Linked DNA regions of Lepisosteus oculatus. The protein of the gene in region 1 purifies or fractionates together with the protein of each later gene. This does not show direct contact. Links are inferred from orthologs where the notes say so. Each region holds a gene or a part of one and is shown in the gene's direction. Other genes may lie near its edges.

What was found.
Region 2: the proteins of vcam1b (region 1) and msna purify together in Homo sapiens (affinity purification with western blotting; 3 studies listed by BioGRID, with this or other methods). This does not show direct contact. The link is inferred for Lepisosteus oculatus from reciprocal best matches to the Homo sapiens genes VCAM1 and MSN.

What each region holds. Positions count from the first base shown.
Region 1 is NC_090704.1:19,635,689-19,652,262, reverse strand, and holds the start of vcam1b (vascular cell adhesion protein 1b), read left to right. Parts: upstream 1-9,774; 5' UTR 9,775-10,039; coding exon 10,040-10,085; intron 10,086-10,381; coding exon 10,382-10,651; intron 10,652-11,094; coding exon 11,095-11,406; intron 11,407-12,009; coding exon 12,010-12,273; intron 12,274-13,479; coding exon 13,480-13,746; intron 13,747-15,038; coding exon 15,039-15,317; intron 15,318-16,100; coding exon 16,101-16,412; intron 16,413-16,574. UniProt on the Homo sapiens protein: Cell adhesion glycoprotein predominantly expressed on the surface of endothelial cells that plays an important role in immune surveillance and inflammation.
Region 2 is NC_090703.1:43,069,277-43,084,887, forward strand, and holds the start of msna (moesin a), read left to right. Parts: upstream 1-5,973; 5' UTR 5,974-6,283; coding exon 6,284-6,295; intron 6,296-12,657; exon of another isoform or gene 12,658-12,677; intron 12,678-15,611. UniProt on the Homo sapiens protein: Ezrin-radixin-moesin (ERM) family protein that connects the actin cytoskeleton to the plasma membrane and thereby regulates the structure and function of specific domains of the cell cortex.

The sequences.
Region 1 (16,574 bases):
AGTAATGAACAAATATAGATATAATGATATTTTAGTACTTTTTGTATTAAAGAAGGCTTCTGATAAAGTTCCCCATAAAATATACATTCTCAAATTATAAGCAAGTAAATAGAGAAAAAGAGGGTATAGATAAGGGCTATAGTCAAATAGGGGTGATTGGAGTACCATAGTGATCTCTTTTAGGACAAAGGATGTTCCTAATTCATGTCAATAATCAATATGTTGGTATAGTTAGTAAACTAGTTAAATTTTTGGATTCCCAATTATATAGGAGGATTAGGCTCTTTACAGTAGAATCAGGAGATTAAATTCAAACAGATTTAGATAAAAATCAAAACTGGACAAACATCTGGCAGATGATGGTTAACTCTCCACAGAAAACAAGTGGCTCCTTGCACCAGTGTTCCTGATGTCATCCAGCTCAAAAAGGAGCATCAGTAATTGATTACTCACTACATCTTCCTACCTCGCTTCTGTGTCTCTAAAGCTAACATCAGTACAGGTAGCCTCAGACTACTCCTTCCAATTCAGTGCAGTGTCTTCCAAGATCCTGAACTCTAGCCTGAGTTGAAAATCAGCAAGTGTCAATGACTTAATTAGAATGAATGTACCCCAAAGGTTAACTTTCTCCTTCTGGGAGTTTTTGTGTTCCTCTCTGCTGTGCCCACTTTAACTATTTAACTGTCAAATAACAATTTTGTCAACCGGTCTATGCCACAGAGCTCATTAACAAAGCCCACAGGACAATGCATCTCCCAGTGGGTATCCTCACACGTACTGTAACTGTCTCCCTTTTCCAATCTCACCTGTTTGCTTGCAACTCTTCCAGCAGGTGAATCTGCCTATGCATCTTTTTACTAGCATCTATGCCTGTCTGACCTCTATGCCTCAGAAAGAACTTGATCACTTACAGTAAGTCTCAAATGTACCTGCCACCTCTTCCTGTTCCACAAAAGTCCCCCTACTTACATTCTGCTTTAATCAATTCAGGATTAACCCTCCAATTTTAATCACCCACATATACAGTGCCTTGCGAAAGTATTCGGCCTAACCCGTTGCGTTACATTGGTGTCAGAAGCGGGGCGGGATAGCCCTTCGCCGGGGACGGCGATTTAAGCGGGGGAGAGTGTAACGCTTACGGCCGACAAGCACTGTGTGTAAGAGCCGGCGTACCAGAGCGGGTGACGTCACCGCCCTTCCCTGTGATAGCAGGACCACAGCTACTGGGCTGTGGAGAGATCTCTCTTTGGCTCACGGGGCTAGGTCGCTGCAGAGAGACGCGGAAGTCCCGGGTTCGAGCCTCCAGTCGGGATGGGGCTGACCAGATGCGGCAAGGGCGCCCGCCTGAGCCCCCGTTGTGTTACATTGGTTTCTGGATGAAAACCTGTTGGAGTCTGCAAAAGACCTGAAACTGGGATGGAGATTTATCTTCCAACAAGACAATGATCCCAAACATACAGCAAAATCTACAAAGGAATGGTTCACAAATAAACGTATCCAGGTGTTTGAATGGCCAAGTCAAAGTCCAGACCTGAATCCAATCGAGAATCTGTGGAAAGAGCTGAAAACTGCTGTTCACAAACGCTCTCCATCCAACCTCACTGAGCTCGAGCTGTTTTGCAAGGAAGAATGGGCAAGAATTTCAGTCTCTCGATGTGCAAAACTGATAGAGACATACCCCAAGAGACTTGCAGCTGTAATCGCAGCAAAAGGTGGCTCTACAAAGTATTAACGCAAGGGGGCCGAATAATTTTGCACGCCCCACTTTTCATTTTTTTATTAGTTAAAAAAGTTTCAAAAATCCAATAGATTTCGTTCCACTTCACAATTGTGTCCCACTTGTTGGTGGTTCTTCACATAAAATAAAAAATTTATATCTTTATGTTTGAAGCCTGAAATGTGGCAAAAGGTTGAAAAGTTCAAGGGGGCCGAATACTTTCGCAAGGCACTGTATACTGTTAGAATAGATCTCTGTCTCTCCTACTTCTACCTTTCCTCTATGCAACACAATCTTCACTCTTACTATACATGTTCAAAACAGTGGGATGAAAGACTTAACTTGTGGCAACAGCCCTAAGCCTCAGGAATCTCTGGGGTATATCAGAGGAATATTTTCAATATTTTCATAGTCCATCTCCATTTTGTCACTATCCCTGTTTCCACTCTGATTTAATGTGAGCTCTTAAACTAAATTATACTATGCATGATGTCTCTCAGGGTCACTATCTATCCTCAAGGCCCTGTTTCCTACACAGCACCTCAGTGCTACTTACAGTAACTGGTTGCCAACTGCACGCTATTTGAGGTGATAAAGAAATTGTGTGACTTCCTGGCCCCATGAATCTTTTCAGTATCATTCACTCAGTACCATTCTGTGATCTGTACCCAGTAGTCAACACCATCATTTTTTTTTAGGAGACTTGGTTCCATTTGGAGCCAAAATCTAACATGATCCACTCAGTCGTATCTGTACAGTTTGTATTTAAGTAACTCAACTTTCAATTTCTATGTATCATAAACCTTCCCAGATGTCACCTCTGGGCCTCTTTCAATTCTTAATGTGCACTGCTCATACTTTGTTATTCAATCAATGTTCCCATTTTTAGAAATGTAGGATCTCCTACACATTTTCAGAGGCCACAATCCAGTATCTCTTCCTCTGTGTTACCTTTCCGGATCATTTTCAGAGCACTCTTCATTCAAACTCTTCATTTATCACTTCAAATCCATCTGCACAGTCCTTTAAACCCCATATTTCCATGACCACAAATGTCAGAATGTAATGCTGTATTTTGAATGATTTGTTTTGGGATGCTTTCTGCGTGCCGTGTCTAAAAATGGTAAACAAAACAATACATAATGGATTTCAGGAAAATCCTGTGCTTAAGGGTTTTTCCTGAATAGCTTAACCTAATGGATAAGGATACATCTACTGCTTCTGAAGTTGCATAAAAGTTTTTGTTAAGTTTTGGTCCTTTTTGTTATTGAAAAAAAAGAATTCGAGAAGACTGCAAATTTAAAAGCGGTATGGTTTGGATATGTTTTTATTGACAGCACAGGTAATTTTCAACACAATGATTATCAAAGCGTTCTTGTGGTATTGCAAATCTCACTCTGCTTGTCCTCTCACCAAACAATGCATTGTTTCAAATCAAAACCTCTGCATTTGGAAAACAGTTGTTATCAATGTTATCAACAAGTTTCATAAATACAATTCCGGGTAAGTGGCTAATGGTCATTGATTATAATTTTGTCTGCAACATGAAATACTTGGAAAAAGAAACTTAAAGTTTCCTCTTTGGCTATTGGAATTGTATTCTTAGGATGTGCTAACAAAATGAAAGTTGTTTTTATTCAGACTTTCAGGATGTCCAGAGGAAATTTTGCTGAGCAAAAAAAAAGGGTTTGAAAGTTCCCAAATGTATTTTAACTCTGCCTTTAATACAAACTTTGTTCTCTCCCACATTGTTGTTGGTTTTTATACGCATAATGAAACTAAAATGTGATTAAAAAACCTTTGATCAAGCGGTTAGCTACAACAACCAAGGACAAGCTCAAAGGAAGCAGTGTATGAAATCTTGAGATGAAATTTGCAATACACCCAACACTGGTATCACAGAACACATTAATTAAAAAAACAGAATAATGTCTGTGTACAGTACATCTAAACATTTTTTAAATTAGTTTCTCTGGGCATAACTGAGGAATGAGCAATTCCCAATGGCTTTTCTAATGAGACTTTAATAACCTATGAGTCACTATAAAAAGAAAAAGAAAAAAAATATTTTGAAAGCATGCAAATAGAAGTAGCTATAGGGTGGACAGTAACAAACACATACTCATAAAATTAGTTAAAGGTTGAATAAAGTATGGTCATTATAAATAGCCACTTCTTTGAATGTAACAGCCAATCTGAAATGTAGTACTTGGCACTGAGATGATAAAATGATAAGGCAGATAAATATTAGTTATTAACCTGTTACTACCAGTGACATATTTAGCCAATGTCCGCCTGGAATTTCCCCACCTTAAACATTTGTTATATCTCTGCAGCAGAACATAGCAGGAGCCTGGTTCAGGTCTTAAATTGAAGCTAACCGCCTTGGCCTTGAGTGTGAATAGTCAAATTTCTTATATTTCTTAATGTGTCCACTCTGCAGACAAACATATGAAAAAACAAAAACAAAAAAACAGCTGGCAAACATTTTTTTTGGGTCTTCAGAGGTCAGATTTTTCAACTATATGCATGTCAAGGGCCTGGGAATGATTTGAAAACCTTGTTCTAGGTGGCTACTAGCTTGGATAAAAATTTGGGACAAATTGATCAATTAGAAAAAATTCTACATCATGTTTTGTGAAGACTGGACCTGGAATGAAATTTCATGCCTATAATAAAAAATCATAAAAATATTGAAAATAATAAGAATAAAAACCATTGCAATTGCTATAAAAACCTTAAGACACTGCTAGAGAGCCTTTATCTGCTGTTACGCAATGAAAAAAAAACCTCAGAGTTGCCTTCTGGTGTGAAAAAAAGGAGCACTGATAAGAAACTGATAAAAAACTGATTGATTACCCCTTCTGAGTCAATGATTGACAGCTAAAAATGCAACCTGAAGCTTCTAGAGGGTCTCACCCCCTAAGGGCTCTGAATGGCTGAAAATAAATGAATGACAGCGGTTTTGACCAATCAAATCACCTTATTTCGTTCTTCAGACATTTACTACGTAATCAATAACGTTTACTAGTCTCTAGCTCTTGAGAAAAACTAGTCTGGGTTGTTTTGGATATATATCATGCTCCAGAATAAGGTAAAAACATGGGATATATATATATTTGCTGGTTTTTACTTTTGCGGTTTTGTTGGTAAAAATGTATGATATTGACATGCTGTGCTTGCCGGGTTGCCGTGTGTTTTTATTGGGATTCTGCTAGTTCATTACTTTATTGGTTTATTGCATAATAGTGTCATGTCTGTGGAAACAAACTTTATGGTTTTGTTGTGGTGATATTTGAGAATACGTGCATGTGAGAAAATTTGTGGAGCGGTTTCAAACAAACGTTGTTTATCTCGCGTTTATCTTAAAAATAAAAAGTGTCATCTGGGGAGACAGGAATGGTCCTCGGTGACCGCGATCCGGACTAAGAGTTGTTTTACTGTTTACAGACATTAAAGTTAGTAAAAAATGTATTGACATCTGTCTGTCCAGCAGCTGACAGAATGTACCACAAGCAAGCTGCTTCCCATCCAACATGTCCCTGACACTCTTCACACAGAACATGTCCAGTTTTATTCACATTCCAGACAGCTGCCCTGTACAGACTTTGCAGAACAGCCCTCACTCATATCAAGAAAGAGTGCCTGGCTCATCTTTGATGCTGAGCCAAAGCCACTCCGAAAATAGCAAATCTTTTTGAGTGCTTTCTTTCCAGACTCACGTGCCCTCACTGAGCGATGGCATTATCTGCACTATCTGGCCTTGCTAGATGTGTCAGGTCCAGGTCAAACTTCCCTGCTTGGAGCAGGTAAATTCTGTTGTAGTACTTCTTTACTGCAGTTCCTTCCTGCAATGTGCTGTACTGAAATGGAGATTAATCATAGAGTCATGATATAACAAGCTACAGCAATACTGAGCAGTGCGGAAAGAGGCTCCATAATGAGTCATTTTGAATGTCGAGCTACCCAACCAACAGCAAAGGAGGACTAGCAGTGAGCAGTGCTGAAAGCTGTAGCTCATCACACAGCCCATGGTGAAACACTGACACACTCATGAGCCTTTCTTCTCTTACTCTCCCCAGCTGTTTGCGTAATGGCTGTCAGGAATCCTCAATGAATAGGTATACAGATCCTGTGCAGATGCCGGAGTAGGAAGATGTCAAGGCAGGTGAACAATCCAATATGTAAGGCGAGTTTGTGGTCCAAAGGAAAAAGGTGATTCAGAATCCATGAAGTACAATTGAAGTAAACCATCTGAAACAAGAGGCGAGGTCACGGTCAAAAGGCGTAATGTAGGTCGAAATCCGGGAAGTACACTGGTGGCAAACAATCTGAGATGAGAGGCGAGGTCCAAAGTCGAAAGGCAAAAGGGAAGTCCAGAATCCAAAATAATACGAGGTACAGAAAACGCCACGTAGAGCTCTCAACGAGTAGACTCAAGCAGAGGGAAGCGGGTTAGGATGGTTTAAATAGTGCTGCTTGCCGCACGGTAGAGCGTGTGCTGATGGATTAACACATGCGGCGGCGCTTGTTATTATTAACCAGCTGCTGGTACTGGTTAGCTCTCCGCTGGTTGGTGCTTGTGACAATGGCAGTGATGCTTTCATAATGGATCTCTGTAATTCTGCTTTGGTGGTGGGCAGCAGGTATATAGTTATCTATTTCTCTATTTTGTCTATGTCTAATATTTTGTCTAATATTTATCTATTTGTCAAATGGACCTAAAGCCTAACTGAGGAAACTGTGACACTGCAAAAAACATCAGTGTAATGGCTGCTGGACAAAACACTACAATGTCCACTGATGCCAGACAGCAGTCTTTTTCTCAAATTTGCAGTTTCACTTTTCACTGCTCACACGCCTGTGCTGCTCCTTGTAGCACAGCCAGACAACACACAACCAGCTTTCTCACTTCTCCAAACCTTTCATGATTGGGCATGTACATCACCGAAAGTTGCTTCCATGTACAGTATAAATGTGTAACCCAGCTGCATGTGCTTGAGACAACCTCACTATACACTATTCACTTGTAGAGACTAATTTGGGGCACCACTCATTTCTCCTTTATTCCCATCATTATTGTTGAGATGTCTTAAGAACTGACTGAATTTTGGATACGACAGCCTTGCTGGATGATAATTTTGGGGGGGGGGAGAGATGACATATTACACTTGGTCTCCCTTGCCAAGAACACCATTAAATGTCATCAGATGGGTCATCAAATCCCCTGAAAGGCTTCCAGACCAATGGAACAGTGGCACGAAACCATTTTTCCTCCTCTGCATATAATCTAGTTAAACACTCTAGACATATTCAAAGGAAAATGGAGAAAGTTGCTTGAAGATTGAATTAACATCAATTCAGGAAAATTACAATTTTGTAGAATTTACATACCTGTACTATATTAACATGCCTTGGCGCATAACACTCCAGGTTCTGTCTATGTACTCCTCCAGGTGTTTAGAGCAGATCTTTCCAGATGACATTTTTTGCCCTAGGTAATATAGTGTTAAAATCCTTTGAAACACACAGCTTTTACACAGAGGGAGTAGTGTCACTTGATGCTTTGAATAGATTGAGATGGAGGAGATTTGAAATTGAGTCTGTACTGTACTTTACTGTAATAGTCAGAACAATGGGGATAAGTAATAAAGAATTCCGCTGCAAAAATGGAGATATGATTTTGCTGCAAATTTTGTATCAGAAAAATTCCAGCCCCCGTGCTATAAAAGCCAGACGTTCCTGCCAATCTGGGCTCAGCTTTGGAAGATGGACCCCCGGAAGCCCGCCTATCCGCAAGTCCAGGAGCGACTCGACGGCACAGGCTTCATCATGGCGTCCTGACCTTCTGAGTCCGGGATTAGGGAGCATCTGGTCCCGTGACCCCCCTTTTATTTCCCCTACCCTCCGCCGGATCCCGCTCCGGCTTTTGCTACACCTATGGATTTGTCTCAGACTCCCTTGGACTGTTTGCCTCGGCCACACCTCCCCCGAACACCAGTGCATCATGAACACGCTCCCTGTTTTCCTGCCAGCCCTAGAGGCCTTTCTGAAAAAATATTAAGCCCAAGTGTTCTAATAACTTCATATCACTCTATCAAACTGAGCAAAGTGATAAGATTTACAGTTAAATAATGTAAACACAGAGCAATTGTCTTAATGCATTGTCTTGGCATCAGTTTCTAAAACGTCTATCAAGTTAATTGTGAAATAAATATACACTGCTAAATGCTGCTAGGAGATGATTGTTCCATGAATTCAAACATGAATAATAGTGGGAAGGGGATACATGCTCTTCAATTTAATAATTCTTAATAGCCATGGATTGGTTTCCTTGTCATGCAAATTACAAGACAGAGAGAATGAAACAGAACTTCAAACGTTTAATTTCATCCCATTCCACTCTTGCTTGTCTTGAATTTTTTACATACTTTATTTGACACTTACATGTACAGGAGTATGTCATTGCTCTTGGAGGAAGGATTATCAGACATTGTCAAGTGCCTCTTACTTCAGTATACTGTAAATATCCCTTACCTCAAATGTTGGAGGCTGATAAGTGACATCAAAGACCTCAAATGCCAGTAAAAGTCCAGGCCAGTAGTCTTCACTACAGAACAGCACTATGCCCATACAAGCAGAGAAGAGGCAGACTTACAGAAGACATGTTACTGTTCTTAATTTATATGATTCAGTGTTTCTCTTGTGATGTTTTAATTCTGCTGTCCTGGATCATAGACCAACATAAATCAGAAGAACCATGTAACTGTGATTCCTGGGAAGGGTTCTAAACAAGACGAGGCACTTTGGGGCGTCAAGCTTATTAAGCTACTAATATAGTAGCTAACTGATCCAAGGATTTCACCTAGAAACTTCCTGAAAGAATCCAGAGTATCAACTTTGACAACATGGCTGGGTGTTTTTTTCAAAACACCAACAACTATGTTAAAACCTACCTCTTGTTTTTGGTTTTAAATGCACCTCTCTGTTATTTCACTTGTATCTCTTCCTACAACCAATATTTGTATCCCTTCCTCTTTCCAATGTGTCTGATGGACAGTGTTGACGTTAGCCCTGTGAGCATCTCTTTGGGAGTCTTCCTTCTGTTTTATATGACAGGGAACTCAAAGCATTTGTTTTGCATTATTAGCTCTTCTTTTCCAGCATTTTAGACAAAGGCAGAAATTATCAAAGTCCTATGTGCTATAATAAAAGGCTGGGTTTTCCCATTTTAGAGGAAGGTGTTACATTTTTATTTTAGAAATTAGAAATCCCTGCTATTTTATAAATAGGTAAGAGCTGAAGCTCTGCCTCTTCGTTGTGTTTGCTAATTAATGGTTCAGTGGAACTGGTTGAGGTCACAGAGAAAGCAGATCCAAGCACATTCACTCCCACTCACAAAGAAAGGGAAAACAGCCTCCCTCCCTCCTTTGTGAGGCTGCCAGTCTGGACTGAATGTGTTTTAGTGCTTTTATAGAATAATGGTGTAGCTTGCAACATTTAGCTCTGCAAAAATCAAAAATTTCTGACAAGCACTATTCCACAAGTTGAATGTTTAAAATACTGGCCCCACATCACTGTGATTTTGTGACAATAACAAATTTAATTTATTTTTAAAAGTAAGTTAAAGCATACTTAATTATTACAACTAAAAATATGACATACAGTATCGAGCACGCCACAGTGAAAGATCAGCGCAAGCGGAGCTTGAGCTATCTGCCTATGTAGTGAGGATGATGCTTGTCTTATTAATACAAAGTAACTGGATTTTCATTTTAATAAGGATGAGAAATAAGTGAGAAGAATGATATCCCGTTTGCATCTGTTTAGGAAACTCCAGCTTGGATTGCTGTCGCGTCGTCTTCAGTGGTATTCACAAACAAGAACTGCGAAAAAGCCTAATTGAAGGCTGCAAAGCGGGATACCACTTCTTTCGGACGGGTTTGCAGCTTTCTGTGCCAGGCTGTGTGTGATAGCTTGGCTAATTGTTTCAGCCGTCTGTGTTCGTCTGTGCCCATTGTCTCAGCCTGCAAAAGCCTGGAACTGTGTATATTCCGGCAGCGTACGGAAGGGGGAGCGATGGACAGACGAAATTTCTTTAGGGGAATTCATGCGTGACACGTCTGGTATTTTGAGGGAGTGTTAATGATTCTTTTTTTATTTTCAATGGAATCCCCTTTAATCCCTATAAATAAGCCCAGCAACAGTTCTACAAACCCACACCAGAAGAACAGGGAGTGGAAAGAGCGGCATTGATATCCACATCGTAACACGTTTGATTGCACCTCGTTTTGGAATCTTAGCACATTAAAACTTCTCGTAATGGCATTAATTAAATTTATTTCGATCCTTTTGATCGCGCAGAGAGGTAAGTAGAATTATTCGTCGATATGCGAACGTACATTGGGCACATTTACGTGCAGTAATGGAGAAACAGAATAAAAGACTGAAAAATGCTTATTTTCTACACTATTATAAGCTAATAATTCTGCTACGCCTGACAAAAGCGGGTGTATATTTAGCAAGTATGCATATGCTATGCACTTAAATGTGATTTAGCCCTAGTGTGCTTTATACTATATTTTAATAAAATAATTTAATGGGAATACTACGCAGGATTTAATGTTAATATTGTATTCATACGTTTGCTTGTTTTCTGAACAGGATTTTCGTTTAATATTAAACTGCAACCTTCTAATCCATTGGCAATTGTGGGCTCCGACCTGGTTCTGAACTGCAGTGCGAACTGTCTCGGAGCCCAGTTCACCTGGGGTTCGCTGGAAGACAAACCTCTGTACGCGAAGATTCAGAATAGCGACTCTCAGTCCCTGGCGATACTGTCTCCGGTGAAGACAGAGCATGAAAACACAATCGTGTGCAAAGTAAAGTGCGGGAGTAAGAGCAAACAACAGTCGACAAAAGTCAATGTATATTGTAAGTGCTTAATGCTTCTTTCGTTGTACGCTGTTCCCAATTCAAGTATTGATACGTGATAATTTAGCTTTAAACCGTTAACTTGTCTTTTTGTGTAAATGTAAGCAGATTTCCTTTAAAATCGGCTTCAATCCCTTTGCACAGGTCAAAACACGTAAGAGTACATTTAACGGTAGCCTTTATACTGCTTGACATCTATGACCGAGTGTCATTTTTTTCTGTTATTTCAGATCAGACGCTATATTTATGTGAAATATTTAAATTATTTTTCGTGTTTCAGTAGGTTGTCACTGATATATTCCCATGTCTCTCTGATCAGGCACTAATCGATTTTCATCCTCCCATTACCCACAAGTGACAAATTGCGATAAATAGGTAGCCTAGGATAGAAGAGTCTACTATACAAATTGATTTTATATTTATACTGAATTATATTTTTCCAGCTTTTCCTAGCAGCCCAAGTATTTCAGGGAATGGACATTTACTGGAAAACCAATCAACTACGCTCACCTGTCAGGTCCCTGATGTCTACCCAGCCGAGAAAATGGAAATTCAGTGGCTATTTGGGGAAAACGTTATTAGTACAGATTATGGAATCCATAGTCCAGCTACCCATACTGTCACCTTGATTCACACCTTCAAGCCAACAGCTGGAGACGATGGGAAACAGGTGACATGCAGAGCCCGTCTGGAAGTAGAGGGACTACCAGAAGATCAGGCTACCAAGGAAACAGTCGCCACGTTACAGTTGCAGAGTAAGTCACATTCTAAAGACCGACCTGTAGTTCTCCATGCTGCAACACCATTTATGGCTATACAACAGCAAAACAGACAACTCTAAAGAAAGGAGGCTGCTGTCCACTTGAAACCAGCTCTTCAAAGGCAGTTTCTATTAGGCCTTTCATATTAGACATTAAGAATTAAGAATCAAGGGCTACAGCATTCAATTTATTTTTATAAAGCGCCTTTCACAACAAGGTTGCCCCAAGGCGCTTAATAAAACAAGTGACCATACTATATATGTTGTGAATACAGAACAGAAAAGACCAGAAGAAAACAGATGAGAAGAACCAAAAACTCCTGAGTAAGGAGAAAACAAAACTCTATGGGTTCAAGGTCAACTGGCTGCCCAACCCCTGTGGGCATGCTAACATTATACAATTTTTAAAAAAAGGAAAAATGAATAAAGGAATAAAAGAAATGAAGAGTGTATCAGAAGACAGAGGGGATCTGTATCGTGCATAGTGCATTTGTAAAGGTCTAACACTACCAAATACACTTTCCAGTATTCTCCATCACTATGTCGCACACAATAAAGCATCAAATTAAGACTGCATTTTTTGCTGTTATTTTCACAGGAGCGCCAAAGATTATTCGGGTTTTAAGCACTCCTGATTCCACTGTGAGAGAAGGGCAGAATCTGACGCTTCTGTGTGAAGCCCAGAGTGATCTCCCGGCCAACCTGAGGTGGAGGAAGCTGGGGCCGGGCGGCCAGGGACCACTATCGGACAGCGGGACTCTCTCTATTGAGCAGGCGCAGGGTATCCACAGTGGAGAGTACGAATGCCAGGCGAGCAATGCTGTGGGAACAGACACCAGAACAATTACCATCACAGTCCAGGGTGAGAAGAACAGTCTAGTGTCTTTACAAAGCCTGAAAACTGTTGTGTTTTCATCCTAAATATGTTAAACAGTTAAGCCTAATGTATTTTTAAGATCTGACCAAGCTCAGAAAAGAGACATATGAAAGTGTGATTAGGGAAATGAAGATACATTAGCTGGACGTTTTCACTGGTGCAGCTAGTAGCACTTTTTAATGTTTCTTTCGCTGCTGTTAGAAACCATTTATGTTGGAAATGACTTCAATGCCCACAAAAGTATTAGATACTTAAAGCCATGATTTCTCTTTAGATATGTCTTCACTGGGGGAGAGTTCCTGCTGTAGTTTTAAGTTCCAGAGCAACAGATTCAGTAGTTTTCCCCTCTCTAAATTATCACTGTTGGTATTTAATTACTTAAAATGCTTTAACGAAGCATGAATCAGTCAGTGTCAGATCTCTGGTTTCTATTTAATTATAGCATTCAGTTTTAACAAAGTTAAAATTAAGCTTAACATTTTCACCAATGTGGTTATTATGCAGTCATAAATGTAGTTTCAATCCCATAAATTAAAGTAGTTAGCTCTTCATAATGTATCTGTAATCTAATTCTGTTTTCAGTGAAGGGAAAAAACACATGGATTGCAATTCAGTTGTTATTAGTTTTTGGATGAGCACTGGGATTGACGTACAGTACATTCACAGCACACAAAGTTTTACTGTTTCATACTTATTAACTGGTGATGTTAATCAAGTGGGGATCTTTCCTTTTTGGGGGCTGTCTCTGTGTTGTCATTTCTTAATGCTGTATCTTTCACAAAGCGGGCTGGGCTTTGTGTCAGATTTGTTTATGTGGTTGGGGAAGAAACACACAGCCTGGCAACACTGAGGGGTTCAGTGAAAGAGCTTTTGCCAACACACATGGCCAGAAGCCTTGGTTTGAGTGTTTCTCTGAATGAACGGTTTTGAAGTGGTTCCTGAGAGCTGGCAGTTGTTTGTCTTTGAGCCACACTGCCACTTTCACACACCCTCCTCGTGACTACAACCTTATCCTTTTCAGAGTCCAGAGTTCCCATGCCCTGTGCTTTTTGTTAAGCTTAAACACCCACCTTGGTTCATCATATTTTTGACCTGTGTGGTTTCTGAAGTGTCAGGGTTTGGCTTTGGTTTATTAGCGCATTGCTTTGGTGATTAAAAGTGCTGATGAAAAGCCCAATGCTTGGTTTGCAGTGCCCCCTAAGAACACATCCATCACGGTGGACCCATCTGGGGAGCTGAAGGAAGGGGACAGAGTGACCATCACCTGCTCTACACACAGCACCTCAGCAGCGTGGCTCTTTCTGCGCAAAGTGACCCAGAATGAGCAGCAGCTCTTGGAGTCCAGCGATGGCTCTTTTACCCTGAGCTCAGCACGACTGGAAGACACTGGCCTGTATGAGTGTGAAGCTGTGAACGAGTTTGGAAGCGAGAAAGCCAGCGTTAATGTGTCTGTTGAAGGTGAGTACCACAGCATTTTTTTTTTATTGTAGCTACTACTACTTCTATTACAGCTGTTTTCAGTACTATTAATGGTATGCAATACTTCTTTATACCTGAGAGGTAATGAATGGACAGCAAAGAGATCATATTTTCCTCTCATTGACTTAATAGACAGTATGTACCTTCTCCAAAATAAGCTGCAGATTGGGTTTTCAGGTTAAATGCGTCGGCCTCAGCCTGTTTGTTGGACTATTCAAATCTGCTGGCTCTCAGTCTGAGACTGGGTATCTGAAACACACAGCACCATCTGAGGAAGGAGGAGCTTAAAATATTAAGTGAAGGGTCTCTATCGGATAGCTTCAGTATTGAGTGTCAACATCAGACAGTCTTCCGATAAGTGGACTAGTGTCATTCATTCACTTTTTTTACGGGTCACATCGACCTGTTTTGATGCAAAATGTAAAGTAGGAGCCTCGGGTCATTCTACTAAGAGTTAAAGGGGGAGGTGACAGAGGCAACAGGGACCAGTAAAAAAGGGGGAATTTCCCTCTGTAACGAACAGAACATCCCCCCCAGGGAGCTGGTGACATTTTTGCTCAGAAATTCCGTCCCCTGGCTCACGTTAAAAAGGCAGAGCAGTGGCTTAAGGGCATAGTGGCTTACTAAGGCTGAACAACACAGAATAAACACTTCTTGTGGGTTTCATACAAAACTAAGGCATCTTGAGTACTGCAATGGCATCGAAGTTTTTCTTCGCTCTGAGCTTGTGGTTTATGGTTTGGGCTGGAGGTAAGAGAGAGGCGGGGGCTCACAATGGGTCCTGCATTCCTTTGAGAATTTTGATATGATAGATGTGTTTAATGACTATTATTAGCTCAGCTGCCAGCGACTATAATACTACAATCACACAGCTGAGCGCAGCCTTGGGTTAGTGAAAGGAAATTAATCTTTTTAGCCTTAAGTGACTTAAAGATGAACTATCTCTGCTACACTAAACTCCTCATTTTTAGATGTATGCCAGTAACCGATATCCACAATGTCAAAGAAGAATAGCAACCACGCCTATGGCCACAAGGAGAAAATATGATTGTTAACCTTTAAAACTGAACAATGTTAGTTCTTTCTGTTTTCAGGTGGCATTTTGTAGCTTTTAACCATGCATTACATTCAAGGCGCAAAGTTATTTTGTGCTATTAACTTGTGTATGTTCTTTCCTGAAATGCTGCACTGTAATTAGAGACTTGAGAGATTTGAAGGGGTACTGACTACATCTGGTCAAACCGTGACATCTTCATCTGTCCTCTCACCAGCACATCCCCTGGAGGTGCAGCTGAGCCCCCCAGAGGGAGACCTCATAGTGGAGAGGGGATCCTCCCTGGTCCTGACCTGCCAGGCGCAGGGCTGCCCTTCTCCAGACTTCACATGGAAACACGTGATAGACAAGCCTCTGGACGGACAGATTGAGATTAAGGACCACCAGTCCAATCTCTTCCTTGACACCAAGGCAATAGAGGATGAAGTGACCTACAGCTGCAAGGTGCAATGCGGGTCAGCCTGGAAGACCAGGTCCATTCACATAAAGATCTACTGTAAGTGTTTTTTAATATCCATTTTTTTAACCTGATAGGAGACTCAAGAGGAAATATTCATTTGAAATGACCACCAACAGAGCAGAGAAATCACTGAAGTGAAGGATCTGGCCAACAGTTGTACAAACCCTTGACCTCCTAGTCTGTAGTTCAGGGCCCTCCCCACTACACCAAACTGGTGCCCAAAGGAACACTCTGTCACAAATGATGTGCTTAAACATCATGAGTTTTTCCTCTTGTTAGTGATCAGGTGGTTAGCCATACAGCTGAGTGTAAGCTTATTTTCTCCAAAGGGACATTTGTTTTTCTCCAGGCAGACTTTTTAGGATATTGCTCTGTGTATCATACACAGGAGGATTTTGATATATAATAAACTCTCTATCTGAAATGAATTAATTGGATTTAATCTAAAATTAAAGTGATGATTATTGTTATTGCTCTTGCCATTAATGCAGAACACATTAGCATTTCACAAATGGCTAAAGCTCCCCCACAGCACTGCATACCAAACTTTGGTTTACGCTTAAAGGTTCTGGATCTGGAAATAAATGCAACACTTACAAATAATGAAAGAAATATGCGTTGCTGGTTCTGTAATGTCCAGTACCACATTTTAATCAAGAAAATGTCAAGACATTCTGTGATTTGGCCGGACAGCTTCATACTATATGGAGACAGGATATCTTTGCCACAGCAGGCTCTGGAGTAGTCTGATGACAGCTTGTCTATGAATGCTCTTGCTGACTTCATCTCTGAGGGTTTATGGTGTTTATCTCTTTGCAGCTCTTCCTAGCAACCCCGTCATTGAAGGCAACAGGCCCTTTCAGGAAGGAGAAGAAGTCACTCTTACCTGCACTGTGCATGATGCTTTCCCAGCAAACATTCTGCAGCTTCAATGGCTGGAAGGCAAGGAGGTGCTTTCTTCAGAGGACCGGTACTATGGCACTGACACTGAGATCTTTACCTCCAAGTACACATTTGTTGTTCGTCCAGAACACAATGGAAAGCAAATATTCTGCAAGGCATACTTGAACTTGGAAGGCATCCCCAACCACCAGAAGACAAAGTCTGCTCTGATATCTCTAGTTGTGCAGGGTGAGTGACCAGTATTCACTGAAATTGGACTGATGTCCAGAAACACAGCATTCTGCCAATCCAAGAGACCCATCCCTGAGGGCTTTGCCATAACTTAGGTTTAGATTTACTCCAGGAAATATCAATGCAGCACCACAAGCCGAGCATCAGAATTGCTCAGGC
Region 2 (15,611 bases), on another chromosome or scaffold:
AAACGTATTTCCAATGTTTCTGTATTTTCGTTTTTTGTAACTGTCTCAGGAAATATACATTCATCCACTAGGGGTCTTCCTTTCCGTATTATTGATAATCAAGACATGAATTCATAGATGTGAGTCTCTCTATATACATATTGGAAAATAAACCTATTATGCTTTAATTTAGATATTTTGTGACGGCGTAATTCAATGAAGAAAGCTGGTATCTATTGCATGGTATTCTACATACACCCAATACTGTATACCTAAATAAAAACATTTCATACGTCATCGTACTGTAAATGTAACTGCAACTGGTAAAGAAATAATAATAATAACGTGTGTGGGAAGGGGTCTCTTGAACGCCTTACCAGTTATGAATTAAACATTAGGTTTCCAAGTCCGGTCATGACTCGCAGAACTTTTTTAAAAAGCAAAGATTATTTTCAGTTAATTGATTCCTTAACCAATATGCGATTTCCCCTTCTCCTGCGGGTTCTATATAGCGGAAAGAGGGCTGAACCAATCCAGTATCATCTATTGATATTTGTTGTTGCCTCCAAAAACGTGACGTAAATCAGTGCTATTATTACACGAACAGTCTAACGTATGGTCACGCATTTCATAACTGTTAAAAAAAAGGGATAAATCTAAAGTGGTGAAAAACGTTTTACATCTACAACTCTGAAGTCCTGCTGTGATTCAGTCCTAATGTTCAGTACATCCATCCATCCATTTTCCGACCTTCATCCAATGCAGTCCTGCGATAACAATGGGTGCAAGGCAGGATACAGCACATACAGACACACTCACTCCAGGGCCACTTTTCGCAGAAGCCACTTAACCCACCAGTGCAGTATGTTTTTGGGCTGTGGGAAAAACACCGGAGCACCCACAGGAAACCCAAGTGCACTTGGTGTGAACATACAAACTCCATGCAGACATCATCCCAAATCCAGAATTGAACCCAGGGGTCTAGTGCTGTGAGGCAGCAATGCTAACTACTGCATCGCTATGCCACCTCATGTTCAGTACATACAGTAGATAAATTATTATTATTTATTATTTTAGCCAGCACCCATATCACCCTGCAACCCACAACTGGTAACCCACTGAAGCTCAGCAGGTGTGAGTACCTGGCTGGGAGACCTCCTAGGAAAACCTAAGTTTGCTGCTGGAAGAGGTGTTAGTGGGGCCAGCAGGGGATGCTTACCCTGAGGCCTATGTGGGACCTAATGCCCCAGTTTAGTGACAGGGGCACTATACTGTAAAAAGGGGCTGTCCTTTGGATGATCCTTTGGATGAGACTTAAAACTGGGGCCCTGACTCTCTGTGGTCATTAAAAATCCCAGGGCATTTCTCGAAAAGAGTAGGGGTGTAACCCTGGTGTCCTGGCCAAATTTCCCATTAGCCCTTACCAATCATGGTCTCCTAATAATCCCCATCTATACTGTGGTGCTTGGAATGTTTTGAATTTCTGCATACATTTTACCTAAAATTTGATCAGATCTTCATCTAAGTAAAAACTAGAGAACCCAATAAAACAAATAACACACAAAAGGATATACTTTTTCATACATTTATTGATCAAAATGATCCAACATTAAATGTCTAGCACCACTGTAGCTGATGTGTGGTGAGTGTTCTGGCGCACTATGGCTGCCGTCGCATCTTCCAGGTGGATGCTGCACATTGGTGGTCGTGGAGGGGAGTCCCCATTACCTGTAAAATGCTTTGAGTGGAGTGTCCAGAAAAGCACTATATAAGTGTAAGCAATTATTATTATTATTTCAGTCTTCAGTATATTTTCTATATAGTTTTAATATAGAGCTGCAATATAGTTTATACCACTAAAACAATTTAGGAAGTGTGAGCATGTCATGTATGGTATTCACACACTGACATGTTTAACATAAATGCATTCTTGCTACCACAGCTAAATATCACAACCTTATTTTTGTATTTCTGATGGCTTTAGATTTTTCAACACCCTCTTAGCAATAAACAGTTGTGCTGCAACTACATTGTAGACTGCATCTATGAAAAAATCCCATTGTCCTCAACAACACCAATCTAAGGAAAATGAAATTAATGTAATCTGTGTCATCTTTTATTTAACAACAAATTTCCTGATGATTAATATATAAATATTTTTTTTATGTACAGTAAATATCCTGAACAATAAATTATTTGAAGACATTTCACAAAGGTCCCAACATTCAATACTGAAAGATTTCCACAATAAGCATGGTATTTATAAAAAATATTAAACAAATATAAAATATTTTATTACACAATGGAATACATCTGTAGTGTATGATTAAGCAAATGATTTACAATTACATTCTTAAATGCCAATAATAAAGTCAAACCAAGCTCCAGGAGGGACAGTTACTCGAATCCTATGCTGAACTTTCATGGAATTCATGGAAAGCCTACTGAAAGATCAAGGAGCAAAAGGGATTGTTCCTTTCTGTGATGTAAATCTGATTTTTTTAGTTGTAGACTCAGAACTAACCAATGTCATGGTACTTTTAAAATTTCAATAACAGGAAATGTTTAAGAGTTTACTCTGGCTGACTCTGTCACAGGGTGATTTTTAACTTCCTGGCCAATATCTGCTTCCCCTGATTAAAATAAGCACATGGCAAATGAACAAAATGGACAGAAACTTTATTAAAAATGGTGAGCAAAAGTATATTGTTTAATTATTGTTTGAAAGGGAGAGGCACAAACTAAATCATCACATAGACTCTTAAAGATAACCTGAGAAATTCAAAGAGGGCCATCAATTTATTGTTACAACACAACAGTAAACTTGTTACATTTCATTATTTGTAACATTTCAATGATGACTATATTCAAACTCATATTGACCATTTTTGATTTGCCTCCAGAAGTAGAATTTCTCTAAATCTGTTTAATATGAAATAGTATTCTATCTTCATGTAGATGTCTTCATGTCTTCAGTTTACATTGCTGTAAAATCATTAGGTCCTTCCTGATATAAAATACTGAATCTCTAGATGTTCTAGCATAATGTATATTAAAAGCTACTATTTTGACCATGAAACCTTAATTGTTTCCCCTCAGTTGCCCCAAAATTCAAAATTGCAGCAATTATTAAAGTTTTTCAATCCTGGCAAGGAAAGATGCAAAGTTCCTGAGGTAAGTCAAAATCTTCAGTACTGTATCTCATATTCTTTAATATACATTATGCTGATAAAATTAAATACTTGAATAGCAGATGAAACATTTTCTGGTTGTACAGTGTCAAAGAAGGCCTGGGTATACTGAAATAAAAAGGCCATTTTCCCCACTCAACACATGAAGCTCAGTCTTCTTCAGTTGATACGGTAGCATAACCCAGTGGTTCTCAAACTTTTTGGACCAAGTACCACCCCTGATCAAACCAAAGCATCCAAGTACAACCTACCGTACAAAATCATCTTCTCAGAGAAACCCCAGAAAATCTAAATGACCAACATGAGTGTGGGTGCATGCACAAACTCACATACACATATAATAATTATTATAATAAACTTTATTTGATATAGCACAACAATTAAAAATAAAGAATAAAAAAAACACCATTTCAGTGAGAGGGGTGAGCCTGTTTAGTCGAGCAAAGCAGATGTGAATTCATTCATCGAGCCTTGATACAATTCACCGCAGAGTCTAACAGATTTTAAAACCTCAGGCATTTTCTTGACGGCCAAGGCCTCGCGGTGGATGCTGCAGTGCGTCTACTTCATATCTAGAGCAACCTCTCTAATTCATGCAACTACACCGCTGTGTAGGCTTGTCATCGATTTGGGGGCAGTAGGTCGAGCTGTTTAGCAGCTTTTTCTCCACATACTGTATAATACGTGTCAGCTCTTTTGCCAATGGTAAACAAAGTTCTTCACAAGTATGTTGGACTTACCTGCTTTAGCAATCCACAAGCTTGCATTTTTCCCCGTTTCAATCTCAGAAGTTAAAAAGTTTTTATTTCATGCGCATGGGAGCGAAACACAGAGAAGCTCGGTGTATTTTCTCAAATTAATTTAGAACAGTTCTTAAATATGTTTCTGTTATCTATCACGCTTTCCTGTGCTCACAAGATTGCCAGAATTCGTAGCACACATTTCTAAGCTTTCCTGTGCTTACAACAATGGCATTGTTCCAAAATCACGCACATTCTCCTACCTCCCTATTTGCTGGAGATAACTTTTCTTAAATACAATTGGCAGCTTTCGTTCGTAGCACGCATTCCTATACAATGGTATAGAATTACATAGTAGCTCTTGTGTCCACTCAAGTATTAGCACGGGCTGTATCGTAGTACGTAGGCCCAAACTAATTTTATTAAAATAGAAAATATGAAAACCGATCCTAATTTTTCAGTGCACACAACAAAGTTCTGGGATCATATGGTGTACCCCCTGGCAGCGCTCCGGGCACCACAACTGGTACAAGTACCACAGTTTGAGAACCACTGGCAAAACCTATCAACAGGAACTGAGAATGTAACACTTTTGACCTGACCTTTCATTGTCTCGCTGATGACTGGCATATACTGCATTACTGTGAAACTGTGTAAGAGGTGTAATATAATTAGATACATTACATGAATTACATTAACTACAATCTAAAAAAAGTTTTCATGTTTGTACATTTACAAACTGAGGTGAAGCTGCCGAGGTGGTACTTCATAAAAATGTTCACATGAGGAGGAAGTACTCAAAATTTGTTGTTTTACCAGTTTCTGTTTTGTTTGTAATTTTAACAAGTACACCAGATAATTCAGAAAGGGTCAAAGCTGGGTAAAGTAGTTCAAGTTTAAACATAAGACCCCAACAAAATAAGAAATAATTAAAGAAACATGTCTACCTAAATTCTAATAACTTCCCTTCTCATTTTCTTATGTCTGTAAAAGTCTCTTTGAAGACAGGACAGACTTGTTTAATATATTTTGTTGTTTTCTGTGCTTGAATACCGTTTTAAACTGTTGTTAAATCAAATTATCGTAATATTTTAAAATAACACAATACAAAGAGGTGAAGTGCTTTTGTTCCATTTTACATTACTTGCATGAACAATTTTCAAGGTATATTCATTACTGGGTATGTGTTGTGTATTGTCTTCCAATTATCTAACCGAAAGTTGACAATACAAAGTAGCCAAAGAGCTAATTACAAAGTGCTTTTTCTTTTCTCAGTAGTGCTATGTTGTGATGTACAGACGAAACTAAACGTTTCAAGTCACACCCATTATTTCCTGTATATTTTTCTGTTTTAATGTTGCGTCCTTTTCTCTTTTGTTTAGAAACATAAATATGAAAGATGACAGGACCATAGCTACAAAAAAGGCAAATAAAATGTTCAGAAGAACAGAAGAATTGAAACAACATGCCAGACTAATATTTCAGTTATTTCATCCTAGCCCTTATTTGTAACCACAAAGCTGCCTACGTACAAACAGGATATTGAAGTCCACAAATAAAGTTATGTTTTAGAACAAAAATATAAATGATCACTACTTTGAAAACTTTGGGGGCATTAAATTCATGGTAATTGTTATGCTTTTCTTGCACATCTGGTTTGATAATGACCAATGGCCACATTTTATTGTTGCAAAAATAGTGTTGTTTTTTTGTTTAGAACTGTGGATTTTAATTCGTTGGTGAATCCATTGAAAATACACGCAGGAGTACTATTAATGAAAAAAAAGAAAAGAAATTCTAACTGTCATTTGGTGTCTCTCGTGGCAGGGCAAACGATAATTAATGTCGACATACTTTCCAGCATTCAAATAAAGAACTAGAACTGGAATATGTTTGGCGATTTTTGTACGTACCATGCGGAGTAAAAGTAGGTTAGGGCATCCCTCATTTAACTCCTCGGAAACTTTAAGAATTCCTTTTCTCGTTTGGGGGGGTTTGACAAGGGCATTGATGAAATACGGGTCATTGAAAACACAGGCGGGGTCTATGTGCAAACTCAACTTGTATGTCTTCATTTTGCCTGGGTGTGGTTTTCAGACATTAGAGTTCCGTTAGCAGGAAATCAAACTCTAGACTCATTCAGAGCTGCAAGAAACACACAGCAGTCACAAATAAGTAAAAAAAAAGAAAAGTTCCTTCAAAATCGTTTTTATTCTGTAAACTGGTTAACGGTAACTTCTCAGGGCTGTATCCGGTTTTGCTTTAGTCGTGCATGTGGCAGCTGCTGGAAAAAAGTTTTGATTCTGAAAAAGTTTCGATTGTATCGTACATTTCCTAAAGGCTTGTTATCTGGCTCCAAACTAGAGTGAAAAGATGCCGAAAACGGTGAGTACCCGACGATTTACATTTTAACTTAATTTAAATGATTATACGTCATAGTGCTGTGTTACAAATGGAAAAATGATAATACTGTATCGAATCTTGGTTCACGGTAATGGGAAAAAGACGCTGGGTTTAATATAAATTAATTCAATCCGTTTTTACCCACAATTAATGCATTTGTGAATCAGGATAGCATTTGATTATTAGAAATCTAAGTGAAACGTAAAATATTCTAGTGTTAAAAAACGATAAGATCTAGGATAACGTTTTTTTATTTTCTTATTTTTCCAACTAATGTGCACGCTGATTATCGTGAAATGTTGTCTTGTGTGAGCTGAGCTATTTCAGTAACAACTTAGTGATTTTTATATTTATCAAGCAGCTCCAAGTTCATTGCAATGCGGTACAAGTTAGTTGCGTATGCCTCAAACAGTTATTCTGTATCGACCTATGTGCCTTAAAGAATCCGTTTTTCTGTTATGTGATTGGCCAGGAAAGAGAGCTTCTTGAAAATTGAATGGTCTGGGTTGCGTCTATTCTTCCAGCCTAGGCCTGCGGCGTTCATATTTTATACAAGCTCTTGTACATTGCAATTTCCTGTGTGAAACGTTGTAATCCAGATCATTCATCTATTTTAAATATCTATACCTACTTCTACAGAGAACCACAAAATAAAGTGCAGAGTATTTCTGACCAAGATCCCCGGTAATTTGCTAAACTTTAGGCGTGGTTGTCGTCTGTGCACATGAATTGCATGGCCTTCAAACTGTACAAAGGCAATAGTTATGGATTTTTTTCTATTCTGTGCTTATTCTGTATTTAACATTTAAATTGATAATCTTGTTGATGAAAATATTAATAGTAGAGGTACCTTTCACATACCATGTATCAGTTTATCAATGAAAAGTACATATTTATCAATTAATCAAAAGAATTAACTTAATGCTATGCTTTTATTTGTGGAGGTTCTCTTGAAAGCTTCTAGCCCTGTAAAAATAAATCAGTTTGTCACTGTGCAAATAGCAGTTTGGCAAGATGAAACTGAGCTATTGACTAATAAATATTCTATATGATTACTGTATTACCTAGTCTGGCACATTTACCTGTTGTATGGGAGTCAGCTAGATTTTTTTAAACAAGAATTTAGTCTTATTCGCATCAGAACACAATCTTTGGTCCAGTTATTTTTTTTTGTCCTTTAGTAGTGTAATTTTTCCTTCTAATACTAATTACCTATGCTGATGTCCACATACTCTGATTGATGAAGACAACTTGATGCTAGGCACTGCAATGGCACAAAACTGCAGCAAAATAGACCAGGTCTCTTTTCTTTTGAATGGAAGAAACGTCTATACCATATAATCCCATGAGACAAGCTCATTTTTTTGTCAGACTCATCTGACATGCTCTTTGAAATGTGAAAATTTCCTATCTGAAATTCTTACTATCTGGAGGCTGGCATCACTGAGAATATTAATTTAGCTCCTTCCAGGCATTAGTGCTCTTCTTACATTATCTGCTTTGCTTTCCATGCACAACTCTGGCCACAGTGTCTGTGAAGTGTTGTTCCACCTCTACATTTAATGATCCTAAATACCAAATTAACATGTTGCAAGGTCTTCAACCGATAGCAATTTATAGCTAGAAAGCTAGAAAGCCTACAGGGTTGTGGGTCTCAAAATTGTAAAACCTGGTCAGAAAGGTAAAGTACACCCTGCTGAATACAAATGAGACATCAACACACATACAGATACCAGGTTAACTTCTGACCTGGATTTCCTCTCTGAAAAGCAACAAAAAAACCTTTTTGTCACAGGATTTTGAATAGCAGAATCTGTAGGTTTGTGGTATTACTGACTGCTTTTCTTTTTATTGCTCTATGTTTCAAAGTTTGCGTTATGATGCTTTTGTAAATACATTTTGAGGTGACAGAGAGGGCAAGAAAATGTTTGAGATGAAAAAACTAACATTTCCACATACTGTAAGTTTTGTTTCTATGTGCATAATACTGTATAGATATTTAATTAGGGGTGTTGCTTTATTTTTCATAAAATGTGTATTTTCATCATTGGGGTACTTTTTTCTGGCTAAAATGGTGTAGTTGTACAGCTTACTTTTGTGGTACTACCACAGATTGTAATTAAATTCCTTCTAAATCCTTGTTGGCATTGGTTCAGCTTCCCAAGGAACTGCAGTGAAATGACTCAAAGCTTCCGGTCCTACGTCAGCTCCCTGTAGACTCTTTCCTGGCTTCCAGTCACTTGACACTGCCTCTGACAGCCTTATTTGGGGATTTAGAAAGCTAGACTCCCCCTCTGCCACTGCATCAGAAAGCTCTGTAGTTATTTCCTTATCTCATCACCACCATTAAATGTCTGCGCTGCTTTTTTCATTGCTTTGTGTAAAAAAACAACACATGGCCCCCACCTCAAGTTCTCTGTAGTTCACACTGTTACTCACTGTCTAAGCTTTATGAAAATACTGAAAGGCTGAAATGAGGTAATGGTGGGAAATTCCATGCTTTGGGGTGAACTCAGCTGTCTAATTATAGCAAGCTTGTCAAAGGGAATTGAAAGTCAGGGGTCATTTTCAACAAATTATTTTTGACAAAAGCTACATTACTTTTAGATAATCTCTGCTCTTTTCTAAAGTTTCATTTGAGATTTTTTTCTTTTCGTAATGATAATGATTCCCTCCTGATTGTGATGTGTATGATACATGAAAAATTTAATACCAAACTGGTTTCCAGGCCTTTGGGTTTCTGAGCAGAGTTTTCCAGGAATCACTTATACCAGTTCATACAAGTTTTCCTAAGAAGTCATTCTTTAGAGACTTAGACCTAGCATTACTTTACATGACTGATCGCCATGTGATTAGATAACACTTTAAAGTTATATCGGTGCGACATAATGTAGAAAATATGATTGATTTATTTATGATAAGAATTCACAGACACTCATAGATAATAACAACATTGAGCAGAATAGAGATTGTATGTATACAAATGTTATTTTCTTTCTTTTTAGAAAAATAATTTTAGAAAAAATACTTTACTAATACAGGTTTATGTCTGATTTTTATTAGGTAAATCCAAGTTTTTTTGCTGAGAAAATTCCATGAACCTTCCATTTAAATCTTATTCTTTTTCATGTGAACGAACATTTGAATTTATAACTTTAGAAACCATATCCTTTTTAACTTTTGGTTTCTAGGTTTGATCATAGGCCCGAGAGACTATGTGGGTTTGCATGTTCTGCCTGATTGCTTGGGTTTTCTCTAGATGCAGGGGTTTACCCCCTCCCCCTACAAATATGCTTGCTGCCTTTGATAAGCAATTCTAAATTGTTCCTTTCTACCTGACCCTGCAACGGATTGGTGCTCAATCCAGGTTGAGAACTGTCATGTGTTTTTGGTCTCGGTGTTTGGTCTTTGGCTTGCCCCTTGTGTTTCCTGGATAGGCTATCACCCTCATCCAGACAAGCTGCCTTTTGATAACTGATTAATGGAGAAAAAATGTCAATTTTTGGAATTCTTGTAGTTTCTCTTACAGCTGGAGCAAGTCAGTTTTTTAAAATCCTATAATCTTGTCTGATTTCCAAGTTAAAACTGAAGCAGGTTTGTACTTTGGATGTTTTTGATAACTAGATAGTTCTATATATTCCAGTTTATGAGGATGGTTTTGTTTACCACTGATTCAATGTAATATATCCTTTGGCTTAATTGCAAATAAGCAAGAAACTGAAATGCTAGGCAACAGAACCAACAAAATGAACTGATGTGGAAGGGCCACTGGTATGTAAGTAGGGGATTAGGTACCACTGGGAGTTTGAAAAGCAAAGCAGGGCTTAACAGTTTGTAATAAACTAAGCTACAGGTGGTCGCCAGTGTTTAAGGGTAAATTATGTGAACTATCCCAGACCTTTACTAAGAAGATTGGCAGCAGGAAGGCAGTTTGGAAATTTATCTTTCTGGCATTAAAAGCCCAACGAATGATTTGTGCATATGTTTCCAGCTGATTATTATTTTTTCAAAAACGTTTGATGGGGTGATGGGGATTTCTTCCATGTCTTAGAGCACGTGGCAAAGTGCGTACGATTAAGTTTGCTGCAAGTAAAATGAAGCCGTAGTGTACAGCTCTGCCATCTCTTGACTGCTATTTTTACCTGTTTGCCTTGTTTCTGAACTTTACAAAAGTGAGTAGGAAGATTAGTGTAAACTGAAGTTTGTTGACTGACAACTGTGCACAGGGTAGACGGAGATCTGCATGAGTTGAGTACGTCATCATGGGTTGGAGCTGTAGTGAAAAGGAGCACATGAGAAATGGAAAATATTTTGTAAGCAAGCATAGTACTGTACAATGTCATAGGTTGCTGAAGAGGATCTGAAAAGATTGCTCTGCAGTAGGCATAAGTTTAAAGGTTAACTGTCATCATGCTTTAGGTTTTTAAACAGTATTTGAGAGTTTTAAGTTAGCTTGTTCAATGTTACTAATGATCACTGATTTATTTTTATAGCCTTCATATTTGTGTTGTAAATGTGGCATGATTGAATTAGAAAGGAGCAATGGTGCTTGAGTTTTTCATGCAAATAATGGTTTGACCTAGCTTGATAAACTTTATTCAATGGCTGTCTTGTATAATAAGAGAAAAGAAAGCTTGAGCTTTGATGTCAAAGTGCAGGAACTTTTTTGTCTCATTTAAAAGACAATCCTACTGACTGATTGATGTTCCTCAAAATGCAAATTAACATAATTATGCCAATTGTGCACTATTTTTGTCATGTTTTCACTTAGAAGTATCTTGCTTGGTTTAGATATGCTTCCACTACTGTGTTTCTGTTGTAGTCAACATTTTAAATGTTCGAAATGTAAGTATTTCGATAGCACAGGAAGTAAGCTTCTGTTTTCAGGCCTCACTGGAAGTTTTGTAAGAGTTGCTGCTGGTATGTTACACTTTGATAAGGAAAGAGGCAAATTTGAAAGCTCTACCACTTCTTTGTCTAGGGTTAAAGTATTTTTCTAGTTGTGATTAATTTTCATGCTCACATACTGAATCATTTTTGAAGCACTTTATCAGTTACCAGGTTTACTGTATGCTCTTTTATTATCGTCGGAGTCGGTTTATGGTTTGAAACATCCAGAAATAAATGAACTGCATTCATCGCTGAGATGCTTGGAGATTTTGGAGGTGTAGGCTGGTGTTCTAAATAATGTCTGTCAGCTACATTCTTTCTAAAATACAACTCTCCCATTTCATACTTTTTCAGACCTATTTAGTTGTTGACCCTGTAAGTTGTTAGCCTACTGACACTGCCTTTATTGCTTTGGAGAAGCCAAAATGCTTATATGGGTGATTCATATATGTTATTACCCGAGAAACATACCTTTTAAATAGTATTAATGATGCAGATGAAATATAGAATTTGTTTATAGCTGGTTGTATTGAAGTATATTGCTAAGTGGTGGCACACTCTACAAACTAGCAACAAGGTTTCAGAAGTTTGCAGATTTGAGTCTGTTTTCTTGAGAAGGGATACAGGATATTTAGTTAAGGGGACTCAATTTAGACTTTAAAATACCAAAAAGGCCTAGGATTCTCTTTAAAGCACAAGGAACCCAAATGGTGAATTGTAGCCTAACTCTTAAAGGACACATTGTTAATCATTTTCTTTAACTCATGACTATTGTATCTTTATATAAAGAATTATGTCATAGGCTAGGTAATTAAGCAAGAACTGGGGGTCAACTACACTTTTTATAATAGAAAACAGAAAAAAAGTGTCTCCACCCTTGTTCAGCATAAAGCCCCCATTGGTGTGGTGAAAGGTGATTACTGTAAAAGGGAAAAACGGTATCTTGAGGAACCTGTGAATAATTCTTCTCTCAGCAATTGTGCTAATAATAGTATCTGGAAAACACCCTGATCACTAGCCTGGGCGAGACCCGCCCTTACCAGGCAGAACTGCTCATTCTTAGTTCCTTTTTAATTTGGAGATGAACTATTTTTACCAGAAACAGTCACTAGTGAAAAGGGTTTTGAAATGCGGCCAAAGAGCCGCTGGCTTCAGTAGCTAACGGAATTTCTCCCCTGACTATGAACAGCACAGAGTGTTCTTTGGTGCAGTTGCACGGGGTGGGTTTTCTGCATTACATCACAATTTAAAAAAGTTACCACTCCTTCAGCAGCAGGCTGAGTAGAAAAGCCACTGGAAACTGGGTTCAGAAACCAGTTCCTGGTTGGTAATTTGACATGGAAGGTTGCTTAGCTACAGATTTAAGTATGGGGATGTCCTACCAAGGTGTTTAAGCTAGAATTCTCATTCAGAAACAGTCAGAGGGAGTTGCTTTTTCAGCACATCTTTTTGTGGATTGGGGTTCAATGATCGGGTATGATTTCATATATGAATGTGGAACGTATAATTTTCCTATTACGTTGATTTCTTTGAATTTCTAGTTTAGAATTTAACCATTACAATGGCACACATTGTTTTTGGAGAATCTTTGAACCAATATACAGTAGTATTATGTTATTTTCAGGAATCTTTGACTGGAGAGTTTATATAGTTTCATGTATACTACTTATGAACTGACCTTATTTCAATTAACACTACTTAATCCAATTTCATGTTCTTGGGTAATTAAAGTAACGTGTAATATACAGAGCTGTCATTTTAATTTGGGTAGTTTTTCCAATAAGAAATTTCATATATGCGCATTAAATTTATAGAAGGATTAAGCAAGAAATGGCAATCATTATTCAAACAGATTTTGTAAGTTTTAAGGTTTCTAGCTCAACCTCAGTTTGTATTTTTATACTAATTTAAACACTTGTTTCATTTTCTCATACAGCATTTTTATAGGAAGAACTTATATCTAAAACTATACAAATTATGTTCTTTCATTTACAACCAAAAGATTTCTGAAACATACAGTATAAGCACTATTGAATTATGAAGATTTACCTGCTAGTTTAAAAAAAGATATGTTTTAGTTTGTATTGCAATATTCTTGAATTTTATCATCCCAGGATATAAGATTAGTTTTGTAGATGTAAGCCAACCCTGGTATTTGTGCTGCTTTTTCAAAGTGTTTTTACCCCCTCCCTTTTGTTAAAATGATTTTTACCCCCGTGTTGGACTATGATTTTCCGAGAACCCATAAGAACCCATCACAATGGAATAAATAAATATAAATTGTTACAGCTACTAAAAGGTGGTGAACCAAAAAAAGAAGAAAATTATGCCCCCAAATCTTAATTTTCAGTTTTTTAAGGCACTACTAAGGAACCAGATTGTTCTTCTGAGGGCTTCTCCAAGGGCTGGTGGTAGAATACCAGTAGTTGCTTACAGTTGCAAGGCCTTGAGATACTGTGGGCCCCACCCTGTAGACCTGCAGTCTTCGTTACACTGTTGGTGATGACAGGAAGTGGCATTGCGACAAGTACAGAGCATAGGCTGCTGATACATGAGGGAAAGAACGCAACCATTATCTGCCATGCAGCTGTGAAAAAATGCAAGCCTTTGTGACTCTCAGGCTGTCGGTTTCAGTTATTTTTCATATTTATGCAAATTAATAGTGTACTTGTATTCATTGTAGTGAGGACAGTGGACATACAAATTATTTCCAAATCTTCTTTTGGACACGGCTCCTATGGTGCAGAATGAAGGCAACCTTACTGCACAGCCATATAATGAGGAGTCAAAGTTTTTTTCCATTACTTTATGCCCATTCAGAAGAGCAGGACAGTGTATGTCCAAACAGTGCTAGAATTACAATGCCAGAATCTGAAGAAAATTCTGTAGGTCTTGCTGTGTATTAAGGTTCTGCTGGACCAAGCTCAGAAGAAACATCTGTGGGACCAAATTGTTAATGCCATTAACTGGTAGCAACCACAACTAGTCAGTCTTGGCCAACTTCTGTGCAGCTGTAACCAGAGTGGCAAAACATCCCATAGCAGTCTATCCAGGGGCTGATCATATGCATATGTCAGCACTACCAGGCTTTTTTATATGAAGGGAGGTCACACCTGGTAATGGTAATCCTTACATTTATATAGCACTTTTCTGGACACTCCATTAAAAGACTCCTCTTCACCAACACCAGTGTGGTAGCCCCCACCTGGATGATGCAACAGTAGCAAAAGTGCACCAGAATGCTTATCACTTATCAGCTCTCGGTGGGGAGGAGAACAGAGTAATAAAGCCAGTTCATAGATGGGGACTAGTAAAGGCCTGAGGGAAATTTGGCCATGACACTGGGGTTAACACACCCTACTCTTTTCAAGAAACACCCTTTATCAAAATGAAAACATTACAATTTGGCACATTGAAGACTAAAAATTGGTCATGATATTCCTGTTATCTAGATTTCTTCATGTATTCTGTGGTTATTTAAAATGCGAATAGGACAGCCAGATCAGACAAGGAGGCAGCTCTTGTCTCGACTATATTCTCCAGAAAGCTGCAGGAAATGACCTGCTGCCCAGTCAACTAATCAATTGGTGTAAGACCTTTGGTTGGACAAGATTAAAAAAACAGGATGTAGAGGTTTACAGGTCCATCTGTTGGACATTACTCTCCTCTTGGACAGCATATAGAGTCACTATTATGTAGCTCCACCACAGGGAGAGTCTTTCTGAGCGTTGGATTTTATAATTTTGAAGTATGTGTTTTTGAAAGGGTTTTGAAAAGCAATTTAGCTGCCCGTTTTTTTATGATAGAGAATGATAAGATGGAGTTATGTTATGTTATGATAGAGAATCTAGTTAGCAGCTCAAAGAAAAGCTTAAGTTTTTTTTGTGTGATTTTGATCATTTCATCACTGTAAAATAAAAATCACGATTTTTACCTTTGTATATTTATTTTCCTGGGATGTAAAGATCACTTCAACACCACTTCTGAGTGTATTACAAACCACATGACCACAGCATTTAAATGAAATACCTGTTTTACATATTTACAAATTTTCTGTTGTAGCTATCCCTGACATTCAAAATTGTTTTACAGCTTTCAGCTCCTTACCTAATATGTAAGCAAGTGGAATCTGTAAAATATTGATAATCTATATAACAGTAAGTATAAAATTTTTAACCATTAGCAGCCGTGTAATACACGTGTTGACAAAATGGGTTATACAAGGTCCAAAGAACTGAATCTATTCTAGTGCTGCCTGCCATTATTGTGTAAATAAACAAGTTAAGATAGACTGATGGTGCTGCTGCCATGTTTTATTTTAGGTTCTAGGTTTTGATAGCAGAATAGGGAGCTTTATTGAAGAGTTTACATGTTCTCCCCATCTCCATGTGGGTTTTCTCCCAACCCC